Saccharomyces cerevisiae S288C: one gene and its partners. The protein of the gene in region 3 binds, or shares a complex with, the protein of the main gene of each other region. Each region holds a gene or a part of one and is shown on either strand. Other genes may lie near its edges. The genes, in order: EMC6, EMC4, EMC10 and EMC2.

What was found.
Region 1: EMC10 (region 3) and EMC6 share a complex: the UniProt entries of both Saccharomyces cerevisiae proteins name them as parts of the ER membrane protein complex.
Region 2: EMC10 (region 3) and EMC4 share a complex: the UniProt entries of both Saccharomyces cerevisiae proteins name them as parts of the ER membrane protein complex.
Region 4: EMC10 (region 3) and EMC2 share a complex: the UniProt entries of both Saccharomyces cerevisiae proteins name them as parts of the ER membrane protein complex.

Annotation. Positions count from the first base shown.
Region 1 is NC_001144.5:119,696-125,135, forward strand, and holds EMC6 (Emc6p), read left to right. Parts: upstream 1-1,626; coding exon 1,627-1,953; downstream 1,954-5,440. Other genes in the region: ATP-binding cassette bilirubin transporter BPT1, read left to right, coding at 1-1,416; mRNA-binding protein PUF3, read right to left, coding at 2,380-5,019. UniProt on the Saccharomyces cerevisiae protein: Part of the endoplasmic reticulum membrane protein complex (EMC) that enables the energy-independent insertion into endoplasmic reticulum membranes of newly synthesized membrane proteins.
Region 2 is NC_001139.9:62,438-68,012, reverse strand, and holds EMC4 (chaperone EMC4), read left to right. Parts: upstream 1-4,392; coding exon 4,393-4,965; downstream 4,966-5,575. Other genes in the region: SHE10 (She10p), read right to left, coding at 1-415; SAP4 (Sap4p), read left to right, coding at 1,054-3,510; YGL230C (uncharacterized protein), read left to right, coding at 3,798-4,241; TAN1 (putative tRNA acetyltransferase), read right to left, coding at 5,011-5,575. UniProt on the Saccharomyces cerevisiae protein: Part of the endoplasmic reticulum membrane protein complex (EMC) that enables the energy-independent insertion into endoplasmic reticulum membranes of newly synthesized membrane proteins.
Region 3 is NC_001136.10:562,927-567,318, reverse strand, and holds EMC10 (Emc10p), read left to right. Parts: upstream 1-1,678; coding exon 1,679-2,296; downstream 2,297-4,392. Other genes in the region: YOS9 (Yos9p), read right to left, coding at 1-1,392; PST1 (Pst1p), read right to left, coding at 2,458-3,792. UniProt on the Saccharomyces cerevisiae protein: Part of the endoplasmic reticulum membrane protein complex (EMC) that enables the energy-independent insertion into endoplasmic reticulum membranes of newly synthesized membrane proteins.
Region 4 is NC_001142.9:583,008-588,926, forward strand, and holds EMC2 (Emc2p), read right to left. Parts: upstream 4,367-5,919; coding exon 3,488-4,366; downstream 1-3,487. Other genes in the region: ACF4 (Acf4p), read right to left, coding at 1-530; YJR084W (uncharacterized protein), read left to right, coding at 726-1,997; TMH11 (Tmh11p), read right to left, coding at 2,113-2,430; STE18 (Ste18p), read left to right, coding at 3,061-3,393; BIR1 (survivin), read left to right, coding at 4,711-5,919. UniProt on the Saccharomyces cerevisiae protein: Part of the endoplasmic reticulum membrane protein complex (EMC) that enables the energy-independent insertion into endoplasmic reticulum membranes of newly synthesized membrane proteins.

The DNA of each region.
Region 1 (5,440 bases), on a different chromosome or scaffold from region 3:
GTGGACAGTAATCTACAGTACATTTTCTCCTTTTTTTTCAAATCAATACTAACCTATTTGGTTACTGTTATATTAGTCGGGTACAATATGCCATGGTTTTTAGTGTTCAATATGTTTTTGGTGGTTATCTATATTTACTATCAAACATTTTACATTGTGCTATCTAGGGAGCTAAAAAGATTGATCAGTATATCTTACTCTCCGATTATGTCCTTAATGAGTGAGAGCTTGAACGGTTATTCTATTATTGATGCATACGATCATTTTGAGAGATTCATCTATCTAAATTATGAAAAAATCCAATACAACGTTGATTTTGTCTTCAACTTTAGATCAACGAATAGATGGTTATCCGTGAGATTGCAAACTATTGGTGCTACAATTGTTTTGGCTACTGCAATCTTAGCACTAGCAACAATGAATACTAAAAGGCAACTAAGTTCGGGTATGGTTGGTCTACTAATGAGCTATTCATTAGAGGTTACAGGTTCATTGACTTGGATTGTAAGGACAACTGTGACGATTGAAACCAACATTGTATCAGTGGAGAGAATTGTTGAGTACTGCGAATTACCACCTGAAGCACAGTCCATTAACCCTGAAAAGAGGCCAGATGAAAATTGGCCATCAAAGGGTGGTATTGAATTCAAAAACTATTCCACAAAATACAGAGAAAATTTGGATCCAGTGCTGAATAATATTAACGTGAAGATTGAGCCATGTGAAAAGGTTGGGATTGTTGGCAGAACAGGTGCAGGGAAGTCTACACTGAGCCTGGCATTATTTAGAATACTAGAACCTACCGAAGGTAAAATTATTATTGACGGCATTGATATATCCGACATAGGTCTGTTCGATTTAAGAAGCCATTTGGCAATTATTCCTCAGGATGCACAAGCTTTTGAAGGTACAGTAAAGACCAATTTGGACCCTTTCAATCGTTATTCAGAAGATGAACTTAAAAGGGCTGTTGAGCAGGCACATTTAAAGCCTCATCTGGAAAAAATGCTGCACAGTAAACCAAGAGGTGATGATTCTAATGAAGAGGATGGCAATGTTAATGATATTCTGGATGTCAAGATTAATGAGAACGGTAGTAACTTGTCAGTGGGGCAAAGACAACTACTATGTTTGGCAAGAGCGCTGCTAAACCGTTCCAAAATATTGGTCCTTGATGAAGCAACGGCTTCTGTGGATATGGAAACCGATAAAATTATCCAAGACACTATAAGAAGAGAATTTAAGGACCGTACCATCTTAACAATTGCACATCGTATCGACACTGTATTGGACAGTGATAAGATAATTGTTCTTGACCAGGGTAGTGTGAGGGAATTCGATTCACCCTCGAAATTGTTATCCGATAAAACGTCTATTTTTTACAGTCTTTGTGAGAAAGGTGGGTATTTGAAATAATGACATTGATTATTATATATGAAGATATAGAACATTTAATGCGCTGCAATATGTACGGTCACGCCAATTCTTTTTCTTTCTATATGCTTTCTAGTAACCCGGGTAATCACAAATGAAGCTAGTAGAGATATAACTAAATACAACTTAATTTTAACCTTATGTTGGATTGCTCAAGCAGTGTTCGAGAAAGACAGCGGCAGACAGATAGAAATGAGCTCAAATGAAGAGGTATTTACTCAGATAAACGCAACTGCGAATGTGGTTGATAATAAGAAGCGTTTACTTTTCGTGCAAGATAGCTCAGCACTTGTTCTAGGGCTTGTTGCAGGATTTTTGCAAATCGAGTCAGTCCATGGGTTTATTTGGTTCCTGATTCTGTACAACTTGATTAATGTCATTTACATTGTTTGGATCTGTCAACTTCAACCAGGAAAGTTCTACCAAAGCCCACTTCATGACATTTTTTTCGAATCGTTTTTTAGAGAGATAACTGGTTTTGTCATGGCATGGACATTTGGATACGCCCTAATCGGATGAACATATAAGAACTACTTCTATAAACGGTTAGAAACAGGCTTGATTTATTATGTACAGTAAATATAATGTTATTTGTGTTTTTTTTTTTTAAATTTTTTTAGTTCCTTCTATGTAAAAAGACATGACAACAGTATTCTCAGTCAAATGATTTCAAATACACAATGTTAAATTCTCTATCTGTTGCAGAAATAAGAAGAGCGTAAGAGCGCAAAGATTTTTGCAGAAAAATAGAGATGAGGTACAAAAAGTAGGTAATGGAAAAAAGCAAATAATGAATATAGGGGAACATAAATGTTATGGACAAGAGTAGATATCAAAATAAAACAAAATAAAATAGAGTAAGTGAAAGACAAATGGAGGAAAAAAAAAAAAAAAAAAAAAAAAAAAAAATAGTAAAAAGTGAAAGGAGAACGATGATAACACTAATCACACCTCCGCATTTTCAACCAATGCTGCAAGTTTCTCAACACTGGCTAAATGTCTATTTCCTAGGGAGTTAGATTTGTTTAGTTTATCCAAATATGCTCTAATGGCAATGACGATCAATTTCTTACCCTCACCCTCAGAGACATTAACTAATTTTTGAATCACATAGTTGGCAAATTGATCCTTGATCATTAAAATCATTGGAGAATCGTCTTCCAGATTCAAAGCATGATTTTTGTCTCTTGGTAAAATCTTAGAAATTATTAAATCCTTCTGATTTTTAGAGCCATAAAGAATAGATTTTTCGACCACGTTGGAGGCAAATTTATGTTTAGAGTATTCGACAACATTATTGGCCACAGTTTCTATGATTTCCTGTTTGATATCGACCATTTCCTTATTGGTGAACTGATCTTGTTGCAAAACATATTGAATGACATAGTTACCATATTGGTCTTGAATTAGATATGGTATGAAATCTTTCAATTCGTTTAAAATGCTTTCCTGATCTTCGCTCGAACCAAATTCTAACAATCTTTGAATGACCCTACAGCCGTAGGAGTGGGTAGATAGATGGTAAATGTGGCCAGTTAAAGAACTTAAGATAAAAGGTAATTTTTCGATAGGAATTGTTTCGATGGCCTTTTGAATTACGTGATTACCGTTCTGATCTTTGATCATTTGCAAAACGGAGTCAGATAATTCCAGGACTAACTCAATTCTTTGATTGGAATCAATATATTCTAACGCCTTTTGAATTACACGACATGCGTACATTTGTAGAGATAACTGTTTCATGTTACCTTTAAATTGATCAACCAAAGTATTTTTTTGAATTTTGCTACCAAATTCAAAAAACTTCTGAATGACGTAATTACCAAATACATCGTTCGAAAGCTCAATGGCGTCATCGCGAATTTCATTGAATATGACCTCCTTTTCTGAGGCTGGTGAGGTGGCCAACTCGCGCTGAATGAACCGTGAACCATGTTGATCTTTGCAAAACTCTAAGGAATGGCCAAAGATGTCTTTTAGTGACATGTTCGAGTTTGAATTTTTGTCAGAACTACTGTTTCTTAGTTGCTCTAACAACGGCGATCGATGATACGTTTGCTGCTGTTGCTGTAGACTTTGAGAATGAGGATGAGAATGAGAGTGAGATTTATGGTTGTTGGCCGTTGACTCATTAGATTTGGAAGAAGCATTCTTTTTAGAGGTATTCTTTGTGGGTATAGAATTTTCTAGATAAGGATTTGCCTGTTTGTTGGCGTTGTTGGAGTTATTTGCAGGATGATTCTTGTTATTTCTTTTCTTGAAGGTTTTTTCGTCCTTGGGCATTTTGACAGGTATAGGATTTGGAGTAGGGTAGTAAATATAAGGATTCTCCTGTTGCTGTTGCTGTTGTTGGTCTTCTTGTTGTTGTTGTTGTTGCTGTTGCTGTTGTTGCTGGGGAGCAGAGAGTGGTGGAGGTGGCATAAACATCATTGGGTTGGGGTAGGCAAACGGGAACGGAGAATTGTTTGGAGGGGACGAAGGTGAAGAAACAGAAGAAGGTCTGTTTGCCTTCTTCTTTTTCTTACCATTTGAGTCTTCGGTGTCTTCATTTGCTGGAATCTGTACTGAAATCATCTGGGAGATGAAATTTGAAGGAGATCCGATCAAGTAGTTGGGGAAGTTTTGGTAATGAGGGCCCTGATGAAACTGATTGGGTGGGAAGCCGTTCATGTAGGGGGGGAAATTGTTATTTGCAGGCCCATCTTGTTGGTTAGGAAGCGCGACATTTGTGGCCCCAACAGCGGCTGGATTGTTACTAGGTCTAAATACTGGTGTGTTGGCTACGTTCCAGATATTTCTCTTGGGGTAATGAGCATTTTCGGACTCTAAAGACGCAGATGAGCCTGAATTTGAACTGGAGTGGTAAAGCGAACCACTGTTAGTAGTGTTCCTATTCAATTTGTTGAAGTTTTTGTCAGACTCGACATTTTGCTCGAAAGTATTCTGTGTGTCTAAGCTGGCGTTAGAGACGCTTTTTGATATGAATTGGGACTGAGTATTGACAGCGTCGGGTCTATCTTGAGATTCCAGTTCCCTTGTACCGTCAATCAAAGATTTTCCGAACTTCTCAAAAAACCCTTCCCCACCAGAGTTGTTGTTGTCATTGCCATTGTAGTAAACGGGACCAGCAATGGAAGCTGAATACTGGCCCAGAAGATGGTTGACCTTGTTGTTTTTCCCGAGATTAGCCGCAGTATGATGAGTATGATAGTTATTGTACGATGCGGATGACAGGGAGGCAGTGTCGGTTGATCTGTACTGGTAATAATTGCCGCCGTTACCAAAAAACTTTTTCGAGTTCGTGGAGAATGGCGGAGCAGTACCAACTGATAGGGCGGTTTTCTTGAAGATCGGTGAAGATTCACTGGAACCGTGAAGCAGCAAGATCTCTGAATCTACTTCATTTGCCGTGGTGAAACTCGACCTTCTGAAGCCGCCAATTTGCTGTGATCCAGCAGCACCGCCGTTCACAATGCCGGCCGCGGCGGCCTGACCGCCGTTGTTGTTACTATGGGACAGGGCGCTTAAAGAAGAAACTATGGATGCGAGTTCCATATCCATATCCATATCCATGTTCATTTCCATTTATACCCGCAATATTGCGTTATTCAGAAGAAATTTAAATGCGTAGTTCTTGTTTGTTTTCTTGTTTGCTTGCGTACTTCTATGCTTATAGATATATCAGTAGCAAGGAAGTTTCCTTTTCACCGCCTTTCAATGTTCCTATCTTTTTCTTATGTTTCTCTTTAGAGACCAGATGACCAGAAAAAAATTAGCTAAGCAGTGTTATACTATTTACAGTAGATATTCAAATATGTGCAGGCACCACTTATTTTTCTTTTTCCTTCTTTTCTTTGTTTTTTTTTTTCTCCTATTCATCAAGCTTCATACATCCAATATACATTCTCAAGTGTGCTAATGGTACATTTGGGAAATTATCTTCCTCTCTCCACAATTTTTAGAAGGAAAAAAGAAATGCAGTTCAGGGTAACAGAGTGCGCAATTA
Region 2 (5,575 bases), on a different chromosome or scaffold from region 3:
CTAAGTTAGGTTTCACAAAAGCATTGTATTTTGCGAAGAAAAATCGTCTAGTCTTGACCATTGGGGAGCGGACCAATTGGTAATACTTTCCACAGTTCCATTTCTTACATTGTGAATGGATGACCTTGAATGCAGGCTGTATAGCGACCTTGTTCACTTTTACTGTAGCGTCATCGATGACAGGTTTGACAGCCGTGTCATATTTACGCGCCACTATATCGAAACCGGGACTAACTTTATTTTTGTATAATTCACAATTTCTTGAAAAGTAGGTGTTCCAGACTCTTGGATTGGTATAATGGCAAAGCGTTTGCGTGCGTTCACACGATATGCTCCCACTATTGAATTCGCAACAGTACTGAAGCAACGATACCAACACCGTCAGAGTTGTGATTAACTTTATCAGCTTTCCCATTTCGTTACGCTGCGTTCTTGTTTAGATGTAACAGCTTTTGTGCATCCAAGATATAAAGTACTTCAGAAATGGTGGTTGAAACAGAATGCCCATTACGCTTACTTTAAGGCTGTTCTTCAAGTTGATCCTTTCTTTGATACATGATTATCATCATGTACGTAGAAATCCGCCTTATTTCCGAAACCTGACTATCTTAGGGTTATACATAGAAACGTATAGGACATTTCTTACTTTTGAAAATTGTTCCTTGGGCAGTTCAGGGTTTAGTTAGGGTATTGATGCCAGCCCTAAATCCCCTAAATAAGAACTCTCGAGGATAATAACAGACAATAAACCAAGAGTTCATCCACGTATGATGGCTGTTTTTTATTCTGTCGGTTTTTGGTTGCCGTAGTAAATATAATTTGGTAAGCGTGTTGTGCTGTGTTGTGTTGTGTTGTGTTGTGTTGTGTTCTACTAATTGGATTGTGCGAATAAGTGAAACGGTTGCTTCACCCAGCGGGAAAAGGACAACCTGGTATTTGGTGTGAGATAAAGTTATAGACAATCTGGTCTTTTGTTATTAAGTTCTCTTTTCTTCTATACCGTCCAGTTTACTGCTCTCTTGCTTTTCGATAAAGCTAAAATAAAATAAAAATATGTCACTATGGCCCTTTGGAGAGACGCTGAGTCATTCCGGAATTGATTCGATACTTGAAGAGTACTATCTAATTTTTCGTAGTTTGGAGGGAAATGAGACCTCTTCAACTGACGACAAGAAGAATGAGCCTTCTATGGAGTCAGAGTCCGAATTTGGTACCGAGTCTCGGGATAGGAGTGACCTTAACCAGTCATTTATTGATAGGATCTTGTTGGAAACAGCTTTGCTGGATGAACTGAATGGAGCAGCCAACGACAGACTCGTCGACTTCATTTGCTTGGGATATTTCTATGACGACCGTTCCCAGCAGGTCCGCCACATGGACTACCTAGTGGACATGTTGATGGCTTACCTGAAGGACATAGACCGCACTGGTTATAGAACCCCATTTCTTTTAGAGAATTCATTCCATCAAACAGGTGAATATGAAGATCAGGACGATGAAGACCCAATGCTGTATGTCAACATTATTTCCAGTATTTTTTGTTCGAAAAGTGCGCCCATAGTGGAGGCACTCGTGCAAAATACCCCATTTTTGTCCTCTCTGTTCGAGGTTTTCCAGTTTGAAAATATTGAGGCAGAAAATTGTCCTATCTTGGCTGTTTTCCTTAAGATTAACGAAACTCTTCTGTTTGAACAGACATCTAGCTATTTGGAATTTTTCAAATCGCAACCGAACATTGTGGACAAGTTCTTATATCATATTGAAGTCTCACCCTTGGTTGAATTTCTCATTAAAATCATGCTGACTGATCAAGTTGAATCACCTACGAACATTATTGACTTCTTGTATCACCAGGATCTGATACCTAAGTGTTTGAATCTCTTGGAAAATAGCAAATACTCACCTGGTATTCAAAACAGTAGCGGAGAGCTTCTAAAAGCACTGATCAGCATTTCCACCAATTTTAAACTGGATACTTTGTGGATCGGACCTAACCGATTGACAAGACAGCTTGCCTCTCCGCAATATGTCGACCAACTTATTAATATAATCTTATTTCAAAGAGGCCATGCAATGGGAGTTGCCGTATCTATTATAATTGAGTTGATCAGGAAGAATAATTCCGACTATGACGAAGTAGATTTGTTAAGTACCACCATAGTAGACAATCCGCCTTCTCAAAGAGATCCAGTCTATTTGGGCCATTTGTTATATGAGCTCACTATGCATATGGAAGATTTTTATGCATTACTAATTAAACTTGAAAATGATGATGACGATGATCATGACACTGCTTCAAAAGCTCTTCCATCTGTTAAGCATCACCTACTAGAAAACCAATTGCATGAATCATTCAGGCCTTTGGGCTTTGAAAGAGTCAAGATTACAGAATTGATATCGGAAATGTTACACTGTTCAAATATGGGATTGATGAATTCAAAAAGAGGCGAAAAAATAGCACGTACCAGAGATAAATGCAGGGACACTCTTGATCAAAACTCACTAGAGAAAGCCATGAAAAATTTAAATATAAATGATAATACTATTACTTCCAATACATTAGAAGATAAATGTAATAATAATGATAGTAATGACAGTAATGACAACCAAAAACAAAAAAAAAATATTAAAAAAAAGTTTCATGATAATGAATTGTATTCTACTTTTGATACATCTGATGACAATATTGATGATGATGATGATATGAGTTTTGAAATTCCTTACGTCAGTGAAACGCAAAATTTGAAAATACGTAAAAACCCTACCATTGGAGATTTATTCAAAATTAAACTTCATGACCTTGGGTTTTTTCCAAAGTTTCTACAATTATTCTTAAGATATCCTTGGAATAACTTTTGGCACAACATTGTATTTGATATTATTCAGCAGATATTCAATGGTCGAATGGATTTTTCTTATAACTCATTTTTGGTCTATTCTTTGTTTGATTTCAAAAAGTCTACAAGATTTATCCCAAAACCTTTGTACGGCAGCAACCAAAAGTTACCTGTTAAAGACTTCCATATTATCTCTGATTTCATTTTACAAGGCCACAAGGATTCGTTTGAATTTTACGAAAAAGAGAAAACAAATTTAGGTTATATGGGTCAATTAGTATTAATTGCCGAAGAAATTGCGAAGTATTCCAAAATTTATAAGACCGATCTAATTGCTCCAGATATATATGCCTTCTTACAAGATGAAGTTTGGATGTCATATTCTAGTGACATCTTGAACGAAACAAGGACAATGTGTTCAATAATTCTTGGTGGAGGCCAGTTCTGTGCCGAAAGCGATGAAAATACTAACCAGGACTTTTTGGAAAAAGCTGATATGAGTAAACCAGCTCATCCATCCACAATGGATGAGAATGAAATTGTTCACGAGGAGGATGTTAAGTTGCATGATAAAGTTGCCGAGCTCATAGATGAATTGGGTCAATTAACCGAATTAGATATTCATGATAAAATTAAAGATGTTATTGTTGATCATCATTCCGACTTAAATTGATTAGGTTAAGTCGTCAAACCAATTTTGACTTTTTTTTTCCTACATTTTTAATATTTTGTTTCTCGTTTTGCCTTATTTAATTTTGTGACATGTAAAAATTACGAAGCCTATTGGGGGCCAATTGAAGTAAACTAAATATAACAATAGTCCTTTGTAGTTCAGGAATGTTCACCAACTATTCACCAAAAATTATTGTCTAGCTTACTTTCAATAACTTATAGCTATCTATACAAAAATAATCATATAACTAAAGTCAGGCCCAAACCAGGCAAAACAAAACCATAATAATGGGAATTATTACACTATCCGGCAATGTTCTACATTTATTGAAAGCCTACCCAAAAAAGGGCCTTGAAGAGGTTTCTCAACCAGAGCCTAATACAGCAAATGATTCCTCGACTGAATATAAAGGAAAAAGCAAGGATGATTTTCAAATGGTCGAAAAATCCAATACAGATGAGAGATACAATTTTACAAGAACGAAAAAATGGTTTTTATTGATGACCTCAGAATATTACAAACTAATGGAAAACAGACTTTTAATGTTTTGCATTATCGCTTGCTCTTTTATTTGTGCTATCCAATTTCTTTTCTTTATAATTTATTGGACCAACATTGTTCCACGGAAGACGCAAAGGGCAATAACTAACCTAAATTACGATTATTTAACAGCCCATCTAAAAGAGCAATGCGTTCCATATGCGAAAATTCTTGACCAATGTATTCTCTAGCAATCTCTGCTTTTGTACATTCGTAGTTTTTTCATGTTCCTTTCATAAATAATAAAAAAAGCGTATTCTTTTCTATATAAATAGAATGAAAAAAAGTTGAACATAATATCAGTTAAGGTTAAAATAAAGCCAAACGATATAAGCAACAGAAATGAGTGAACAGGAGCCTTACGAATGGGCTAAACACCTATTGGACACCAAGTATATCGAAAAATACAACATTCAGAACTCAAACACATTACCTTCACCACCAGGATTTGAAGGTAATTCCTCTAAAGGAAATGTTACAAGAAAACAACAAGATGCTACATCTCAAACTACTTCTTTGGCACAAAAAAACCAAATAACAGTATTACAAGTACAGAAGGCATGGCAAATTGCGTTACAACCAGCCAAATCTATTCCGATGAATATTTTTATGTCGTATATGTCCGGTACATCCTTACAAATCATTCCTATAATGACTGCCCTCATGCTACTCTCTGGACCCATTAAAGCAATATTTTCAACAAGGAGTGCATTCAAACCAGTGTTGGGTAATAAAGCAACACAAAGTCAAGTGCAAACTGCTATGTTCATGTATATCGTATTCCAAGGCGTCTTAATGTACATTGGATACAGGAAACTAAATTCAATGGGTCTCATTCCTAACGCTAAGGGTGATTGGCTACCCTGGGAACGAATTGCTCATTATAATAATGGATTACAATGGTTTTCCGATTGAGAGCGTATATACTTATATAAAATATCTATTCTGTTTCATATATGATTATTGTTTTACACTCTTATCTTCATCCTTTCGGAATTTCGATTCATAAAGCTGTTGAACGTTGTATTTACGATATTTGGTTTTATAATCCCCATCGACTACACACATTCCGATATTGCTCTTAAAACATTCCACTAGAATCAATTTATCATAGTTCTTCAAGTCCACAGTATGATTAAACTCAGAACCCTCTTTATTGACCAGCTTCACAACTTGATTAATGATGTCCATTCTTTCAATCGTATTGAAATTTCTTCTTGTCACTTCTACAGCAAATTTATAATTTTTTTTAACATTCGAAGGGTCATGAAAGTGTGGCCCAATAACCAAATTGGCCAACTTGATTAATTGCTCCATTTTTGCATTACAAGAGTACGTAATAGGTGTTAATTTCTGAACATATCTAGTACGTTTAACCATATTTTTGGGATCCGCTAAGTCTTTCATGATACTTAGCACAAATTCTTCGGGAACAATTGGCTTTCTTGTTTTACAAAATGTCACGCACTCACAGTTCAAGTCGATGAAGGCTAAGGGGTCTTTCTTCTTTGTCTCCCCTGAAGAT
Region 3 (4,392 bases):
TTCAAATATTACTTCCATTTCATGTGGACTTACGATTTCGTTTAATAATTCTTTCACTTCTGCTATCTCCTTAGAAATCCTCAAGAATAGCTCATTATCAGTGTTAATTAAGTATTCATCTGACCGAATTTCTGCGGTATTTATATCTGCTTTGTTTGAGTGGGTTATTTGACCAAGTTCAGTTGACTCGCCATGATCCCCAATTTTGTATGATAGGAAGTTTCCATTATCTTCATTAAATGTAAACGTCTTGTTGAAAAATATCTCTGCTCTCTGTGAATTAAGTATGTTCAACGATAAAGTGGTTTGAAACCGATCTTTCATATCAACCACTTCCGCCAACCAAACACATGAGTCACCAGGCTGGAGAATATGTCCATTAGGTAACGATACTAATCTCAAACTAAGCATTTTGTTTATGGCATTTCCAAATTTCTGGTAATATGTTTCCGTAATCTCATCCCAATTTGACATGGCATTGTCAGTAACCATTAATTTGTCTCTTTCGTCGGTGTTAAAGGGCCTTAGAAAGTATATTCCAGAACCTAAAAAAATCGGTTCATATTTGGTGATTAAATCAATAGAGTTACTACCAATTTTTGATTTTGCGGGCATCCTGCAAAGTATAGGTGAGGCGTTCTTTTGGTCTTCATTTTTGGCTAGTAATTCTAAATTGCACAATTCAGGTATGGTAACTTGGGCTTCATAAACACAAATTTTTGTTTCTCTCACCCATTGAATAGTCGATGGTCCAGAGTTTGAGCCGCCACAGACATATTGTATTTCAACCATTCTTTCAGCCCCCGTCACATCGCAAATATCACCTGACCCTATAATTTCGCTGATGTAATATCCTACATCGTCATAAAGTAGTTCAAATTCTCTCTCTTCTACATTTGCTTTTGGTTTTCCCAGGCGGTAGACCAAAGATTCATCTCGATTTACTATTTCACCAGTTTTTGTATTTACTCTACCATGGAACTGAACAAATTCTATGCCAGGACAGTACTCGTAAATCCAAAATCCGGCTTGGTAGAAGATGCACCGTTCATTTAATTTATCGAAAATTGTCTTAACACCTTGATTCAGGGTTTTAGTTAATAATGCTGTCTTTTCACTATTGCTATGCTCATTTGAGTCTTCCAATACATCATTCAATTGAGTGCTTGCATTTTGAATAAAGCATTCAAGGTCGTCGCCCATATTCACTATATATCCCGAGTTCATGACAGACTGATTTTGTAATATCCTATCACTCCAGTCGTCCTCATCGATGTAAGATATGAGGTACTTATTCGATACTATGGGGTCTTCTATAGGTGCTAATAGTGATGATCCTAACGGAATCAACGCAGAAATTGCGCTCAGAGCATATATAATTTTAGCTTGCATTGAAACAGGGAAGAAAGGGGATGATAACGATATATGTGAAGATCTATTGCTTATTTTAGGGAATCTGCTTCTTTTTTATGAAGCTACATTTTTACTTGAAATTTCCGCTGTATTTTTTTGCATACGTGCGCTGGGTCTCTAACCACTGTATTTGCATTGGTAACTTAAAAACCCAACCAAATATAGGAATAATTAGAAGTATATAAAAGACACTTTGAGTAAAAAAACAAGGTGGTACTATTCAACACTATCTAACAAGAACTGTACAATACTCATTGAAGGAAAGATGCTTGTGCGGCTGTTGCGTGTGATTTTATTGGCCAGCATGGTTTTCTGTGCTGATATTTTACAATTAAGCTATTCAGATGATGCGAAAGACGCTATACCCCTAGGAACATTTGAGATTGATAGTACATCCGATGGGAATGTTACAGTAACAACCGTTAATATACAGGATGTTGAAGTTTCTGGAGAATACTGTTTGAATGCCCAGATTGAAGGTAAGCTGGATATGCCATGTTTTAGCTACATGAAGCTGAGGACACCACTAAAATACGATTTAATTGTGGATGTAGATGAAGATAATGAGGTCAAACAAGTGTCGTTATCATATGACGAGACTAACGATGCTATTACTGCTACAGTCAGATATCCAGAAGCGGGACCTACTGCACCAGTCACCAAATTAAAGAAGAAAACCAAAACTTATGCTGATAAAAAAGCTAGTAAGAATAAGGATGGAAGCACTGCACAATTCGAAGAAGATGAAGAGGTTAAGGAGGTGTCTTGGTTTCAAAAGAACTGGAAAATGTTACTTTTAGGCCTATTGATTTACAATTTTGTTGCGGGCTCAGCAAAGAAGCAACAACAAGGAGGTGCCGGAGCTGATCAAAAGACTGAGTAAATAAAGTATTGTGATTTTTTAAATTTTTAAGTGTCGTTACTTTTATCTCTTTCCCGAAAATATTTGAATACATAAAATTTTTAAATAAATGTTTTTATTTGTTCACATGTCGTGAATGACAGGTACTAGTTATCAAAAATGAAGAATATTTCTTCATTCCATTACATTATAGACATGATGATTGCCGTCAAAAGACCGACCAAAGGGGTTGTTTGGCCAATTGGTGCCATGATAGCGGCATTGCCTTTGGAACTCTTAGAGCTAGAGCTGGAAGCGCCAGAACTAGAAACACTAGAGGCAGAAGCAGCAGCCTTGATATCGCCAGAAGTGAACTTCTTTTCCTCGGCCTTAGAAGATGACTTGGAAACCTTGGCAGTAGTTTGGCTTGATTGAGATTTGGAAGTGGACGATAGTTTAACAGATGTGGATGATGCACCATTTTTGCAGACAAAAGATTCACCCTTGATACCCCCTTTCTTTTGCAAAGCTTTCAAAGCATTACAGGAGAAATTGCTTGACTTTGATTCGACATCTGCGCCACCCTTGACAGACTTCAAAGAGTCTAGGTTCAAGGAGGTGAAGTTACCAACAACTTCCAAAGTACCGCCAATGGTTGTTAGGTTGTCGAGACCACCAATTTTTTGTAAACCAGTGTTGTTAGCAACGACAAGAGCACCACCTATGGTTGACAAATTAGAGAACGACAAGTTCTTCAAGTAGTCATTGGAAACGATACTGAAGGTTTGGCCAATGGTGTTTAGCTTAGTGAAATTCAAACTTGAGATGGAGTTGTTGATGAAACCCAATGAAGAGTTAATCTTTTGCAAGTTAGCGAAGGAAACAGAGTGGACATCGGTCAAACTGATATTGTTTGCCCAAACCAAGTCATCGAAGGTGATTTTAGTCTGGTTACCGTTGAACGAAAATTGTAAAGAATCGCTGACTGTTTCAACTGGAGATTTGATCGAGGTTAATTTCTTATTGTTATTGACGTTGAACACGTTAACTTTTTTCAAGGCTGAGAATCCATCGACAGATTGTAACGAAGTGTCGGAAATATAAATGTTGTTAGCAGATTTGATATTTGAAGTAAAACTGGAGATGGCGGGTAGAGTAATCAGTTTTATACTATCAACGCTCTGTAAAGACCCAAATGAAGCAGAAGTCAAGATTGTCAAACTCTGTAGGTTCAAAGAATCTGTGATGGACTCCAAGGAATCAGCAGCGAATGAGGTTAGATTTGTAGCGTTAAATATAGTTAGAGACCCGTTGATTTCTTTAACATTAGCCAAAGCACCAGTCTTCAAACCACCACCAATAGTTAAGTTCCCGACTAACGTATCACAGCGGCTATATTTATCTAAGTCACTCTGAGCTGTGGCCGTGGCATGTGAGCTTATGGTACAGGAAGAGGGTATGCTGGAAGAAGAGGAAGTAGCAGCCAAAGCTGACGTTATTAAGAGCGCAGTTGAAGCGATAAGTGAATGTAATTGCATGATATTTTTATAGCGAGCTTTTTTTTTTTGCTTCTCTCTTGGATTAGATCTATTGCAGCGTGATGTACTGTAAGATTCTATTGAACTATACAGAGCAAGAGTTGAATAGAGAAGAATATGCACGCTATTTATATGTTTATCTGTAGAGCATATATGGGTTTGCTCGTAAGGAACCTTGAGCGGTTGAATGATATTACTTAGAGTTAATGCTATGAAAACCCAGCCCAATCATTCAACATTACTCTTTGTAGTAATAAACTCTGATCAAAGTCCGAATCAGGGCAGTGTGCCTACGCTATTTTTAGAGACTCGTAACACTATTAAAACTAAAAGCCCTCTCTACTAATTAAGATATCCCAGCTTTGTGGTCTTTTTTGGGTTTCTTTGGTTTTTTTCCCTCAAGGATACCGAAAATGCGGGCCTTAATTTAAAGCCTTTTCCGTAAAGAGAAAACAAAAATGAGTTGGCGGGTCAACGGGGAGTGCTATTTTAAACGACTCAAATACATTTGAAAAAGAAAAAAATAGCCGCCCAGCTCCCACGTGCATATCACGTGCATTATAACCCGGTTTTCAGATAATAGAAATCCGCTCACTCTAT
Region 4 (5,919 bases), on a different chromosome or scaffold from region 3:
ACATTATTATTGGGCTTACTAAAAAAATCGTTTATACTCTTTTTTCCCTTGAGCATATTTGGTGAATTATTTACGTCCACAAATGTCTGTTGAATTCTTTTGGTAAAAGTAGAGAGGTATTCACTTGGGTTCTGGTTACCTAATTTCTGTTGTCCATTTCGGGGCAGTGTATCTTTGAACTGTAACTCTAATTGTTTTAATTCTTTTTGGGCGACCTCTAATTTGAAACTAAGTTCATTGATTTCTCTGTGTTTTGCAGCTAATTTATATATTAAATCTTGGTCTGTTGAAATCGGACTTGCGTGGTCGCTCACGGGTGACTGATTTGTCGTAGATCTTTGCGGACTTGATATAGGTATAGCAAGTCTTTTGGGCTTTAAAGGTGTCGTAACCCTTGGTGATTTTGATTCAGGCTGCACTTCATGTTGTTTTTGATGCGGCTGTTGCTGCTGTCCTTGGGAGTGTTTATCGACAATCGACAGCTTATGTAATTCAATTGGTTGACTAATTACACGCTGGTCTTCTGACATTACTTTAGGGCGTATGTATGGATGTATTTTGTATTGCTTTTGGCTAGTTAGTAGTATTCCTCAATCGTATTGTTTTTGATTTTGAAAAAGCTAACGATAAAGGTCAGGAAAAAAAAAGAAAATTGTATGTAAAGGAATGTCTGGAGAGAGTTACACAGGAACAGAAAGGTCCAGCAACGGTTTCTACAACCAATCATGGATGTTGATATAGGATGTTATTTTGAAGAGAAACGCTATGACGACAAACTGTTAGACTTCATCAGATATGACGTTAAAACACCTAAAAAGACTAAATATATACTACAAAGGCCTACGGCGACAGATGAAGAGAGTGTACGATTACAAAGGTTTTACCAATTAGGAGTAGATCTAAAATTGAAGTATTCCAAGCGGAGGTCATTGAAGAAGCAAGGGCGGATCAAGAATGCTACTGAGGAATTGCTGCGATTAGCCAATGAACAGTTGAAACTTTTCAACAGAATAGTAGAAAGAGAAACCAATTGGATAATTTATCCGCTGTGGGTAATGGCTAAACAATTAATTCGTCTGGCAAACGAATCTAGTGAACTTAATAAAGACTCAATTGAGGAATGTGGACGCACTATCCATAGAAGCTTTACTATATGCCTCAATGATAGGAACCCAAGATTGAATGAAAATAAAAAAATCGGGTGTTATATGTTTGCTAATCTAGAGTTTTCCATCTACCATCGGTTAAGTAATAAAGATATGATTAAAAATTTAGTGAAAGTCCTCGAGAGCAGAGTGAACGCCCGGGATATACCACCGTTGAATAAAAGCCTGGCAATGGAACATAAGTCTCAAGTGGTGTTGTATAATTATTATCTAGGTCAATACTACGGATGTCTGGAAAACGATCACGAACGCGGGTTCTTCCATTTAAATGAAGCATTATTGCAATGTCCAATGCTATATGTGGAATCTACCGGCAAGTTCGTCTTACAGGGCCAAATGGAAAAGATAATGATACTGCTGGTTCCGCTTGCTCTTTTAACTAAAAGGTTGTACCCTCACTGGGATCATCCAGTAATCGCCGGAGTAATTACTAGGAGTAAGCGCTTAAGTCAAGTTTATCCGACATTAGTGCGTAGCGTAATCTCAGGGAACCTGTCACTGTACGAGGCTACCGCAGCAAGCCATGAAAGATTTTTCCTTTCGCAAGGATTGCATGTCGTCATCACATTACTTCGAGAGGTGGTCTTCACTCGGTTGGTACAACGATGTTGGCAATGGGGGAATGATCGGAAAAGTATCATGCCCTTGAAAATTCTTCTGGCAACAAAACAACACGATAGTTCTGCCAATGAGGACGAAGAGGAGCAGTTGGATGCCCTAGAATGCCGTCTAGCAAGTGCTATAGCAAGTGGGCTTTTGCGTGCTTATCTTTCTCACTCCAACCGCTGCATCGTTTTCAGTAAGAAGGAGCCCTTTCCCCATAGCAAATGATAGAAAAATAGTCAATAATTGAACGAAGAAAAAAAAAAGAAAGTTTGTTCATAAAAGAATATCATATTATATATATATATAGGGTCGTATATATATCGTGCGTCTTCTTCCTTCTCTAAGGGTAAAATTCCTTGTATTTGTTATAATAGTAGTAACTGCCGAGCCCACCCAAAGCTGTCAAAACGACAGGGACAGGTTTAGTGAACCTGGAAGGCATGCCTCTTATGACACCAGCACCAAGTAGTAAGGTCGATGCACCCAATGCCATTTCGAGCCCACCATCTCTATTCATATGTAGCAAGTAACCGGCAATCCCATATACACTACCGAATACTAAGCCAGATACTAGAGATGGAATGGAGCCCTTACGGTAGTATCCCATAAGGCCACCGGCTGTAGTCAAAAGACTCAATGTATATGCTGGATGTTCCATAGTGTGATCTGATGTTCCTTTCTCTCAAACTTCGTTTCTGTCTTGTCTCCCGCTGTTACCTAATAACTTCATGTGATCTGCTCCCCCTTCTCGTTAAATACCACCTTTTCATCAACCCCGTAGGGCGCGACACGTCTAAAATATTAACCTCTGAATACTTATTGGGTCAAAATGAATGTTGATAACTTTCCTTTACAAAAAAAAAACTAATAGAGTATATGCATTTCGGTAGTGAAATATTCGTTAATGCTAATATGCTCAGTAGTGATCCTAGATTACCAGTTTTACTGCAGCCATCGTACAATTTTGGAACGAGTATAAAGAGAGAAATTAAAAACGACAAGAAATATTCGTACTAGCTTCTCTTCCGGCTTGATGACAGTCTTAATATCATCTGCAACTCTTGAAATCTTGCTTTATAGTCAAAATTTACGTACGCTTTTCACTATATAATATGATTTGTCAATGTGATGAGTGAATGTCTCCCTGTTACCCGGTTTTCATGTTGATTTTTGTTTCAGGCTCTAAATGTTTGATGCAATATTTAACAAGGAGAACAGAAATGTTTTGTGACAGCACCTGTCAATTTTAGGATAGTAGCAATCGCAAACGTTCTCAATAATTCTAAGAATGACATCAGTTCAAAACTCTCCACGCTTACAACAACCTCAGGAACAGCAACAGCAACAGCAACAGCTTTCCTTAAAGATAAAACAATTGAAGTTAAAAAGAATCAACGAACTTAACAATAAACTGAGGAAAGAACTCAGCCGTGAAAGAATTACTGCTTCAAATGCATGTCTTACAATAATAAACTATACCTCGAATACAAAAGATTATACATTACCAGAACTATGGGGCTACCCCGTAGCAGGATCAAATCATTTTATAGAGGGTTTGAAAAATGCTCAAAAAAATAGCCAAATGTCAAACTCAAATAGTGTTTGTTGTACGCTTATGTAATGATAGTAATAGAATCCAAAAAAAAAAAAAATATACATGCTTTTTCATATCCTCTCTCACCCTATCTTTTTTTTTCTTCTAATTTTGGCTCCGTTCATATCTTATTCAAAATTAATTCAGCGGTAATCTTATCTTTATTGTTAGACTTCGCAGAAATTTCCTTTAGCTTCGATGCAGATAGTTTGATCAAGTCATTTTGTTTATTACGTCCCAGTTCGCGAGAAATGATGTTAACCAATGCCCACCCTTTTAGGTATAGTTCGCTAAGTTCAACGCTCCTCAAAGCATTCTTTAATGCCTTTTCCAAGAGCTCGGTCTTGGTTTGTTTCTTGCTACGTAGAGCCTCATAATACAGAGTCTCACTTAGCCTACCAAAACAAGCGTAATTGAATGGTGTAATACATAGGACCTGTTCCAAACAATAACAGGCTTTTTCAAATTGGCCCATTTCGAAATAAATCTCGCTGGCATACCACCACAATTCTGCATCAAGCGGGAATTTATCTGTAAGAGCTACCACTTCTTTAAGAACACTTTCTTGGCTCAAGTTCTTGGAAGTTGTCTTGATAGCTATCAATTTCTTTGCAATAGAGACATAAGTAACGAAGTCCGTTTCATACTCCAGATCATCATTCAACAAATTTTCCAGATATTCAATAGCGCCTTTATCATTTCCGTTTATCTGCAATAAAGTGGCTTTCATGATTACCATTTTATACGAATTTTCACCAAGACGATCTCTTAATGTATTATAAACAACTTGCGCATCAACGTCTTGGTTTCGGTACACCAAAACATAGAAAAGCATTTCCATCAAGAAGAAATAGTTTCCTTCTGTTAGTGCAGAGTCTCCGCTTTTCATGTAAATTTTCATTTCATTTTCTAGTTGCAGTAATTGTTCTGGATTAAATTGAGTATACGCTTTGGTATTCATAATTGTCAAAAGCTTTTCTCTAACCAAATCCTTCAACATTGTTTTATCTACTGCTTTCTATAATTTTCTCCGTTCCAATGCGATCCAATGCCTTTCATTCATACATAGTTATTTATTTCATTAACGATCCAAATCTCTTTACTTAACTTCACTAGTCAACGCTTCTAACACATCACGCGATACGAAGATTAACAGTTTAGTATAATATTGCAATACATACCCATTTCACACATCGGTCAAGGTCATCAAGCACTTTTAGTTATAGTGTGTCCTATAGTTCTTTCAGATTGATTGAGGTTTCATATTAGTGTTGAAAGCCTAGCTAAAGTTCTCTGGGCGTGCAACATTCGAGGACACATCGGTTGTTTATACCTCATGGGATTATGGATGGTCAAATAGATAAAATGGAGAAGCGATATAGCATGACCAAACTGGAGAATAGGTTAAGGACTTTCCAAGATGGTGTTGCACTTGAAAAAAAAAAGTTAAAGTGGAGTTTTAAAGTTATTCCGTATCAGGCAATGGCCAAGCTTGGATTTTACTTTGATCCAGTGATCGATCCTAAGACATCTAAACTGAAAAAAGACTCTGTAAGATGTTGCTATTGTCATCGTCAAACATACAATGTGAGAGACTGCAGATCCAAAAGAAAAGATGTTCTTGAGACTCTAAGCAATATAATGAGGCAACATCTGACTGTTACTGATAACAAACAAGTTTGCCTCCTTATTTACTTGCGCAATAAGCTATTGACGGACTATAGCTTCCATATGGGGGTTTCGGACTGGAAAAATGACAAGTACTTCAGCAATCCAGATGATGAAAACGTGATAAACCTAAGAAAATTTACTTTTCAAGATAACTGGCCTCACAGTGGTTCTCAAAATGAACATCCGCTGGGTATAGAAAAGATGGTGAATGCAGGACTCATGCGATACGACTCCAGCATAGAAGGCTTAGGCGATCCAAGCATGGATAAAACACTTATGAACGATACCTGTTATTGTATTTATTGCAAACAGTTGTTACAAGGTTGGTCAATAAATGACGATCCGATGAGCCGACATTATAAGGTTTCTCAAAATGGGAACTGTTATTTCTTTCAGACACGTAATCGATTTGAGAGAATAAAAAATGACAATGACAGTATCACGAAAAATTGCGAAGTCTCTCCAACTTTAGGCGAAAATGGGAAAAGAGAAGTGATCAACACGAAAACCGCTTCTCAAAGGCAGTGTCCTTTATTTGAGTCACCTCCATCTAGTACTGGTCCTCAACTTGACGATTATAATGAGAAGACAGATATATCTGTTATTCAACATAATATAAGTGTGCTTGATGGAGCACAAGGCGAAAATGTAAAACGTAATAGTGTGGAAGAAAAAGAACAAATCAACATGGAAAATGGAAGCACTACATTAGAAGAGGGCAATATAAATCGTGATGTTTTAGCAGATAAGAAAGAAGTTATTTCGACACCAACTGCAAAAGAAATCAAACGTCCAAATGTCCAGCTAACCCAATCATCGTCACCTATAAAAAAGAAAAGAAAGTTTAAGAGAATATCGCCTAGAAAAATCTTTGATGAGGAA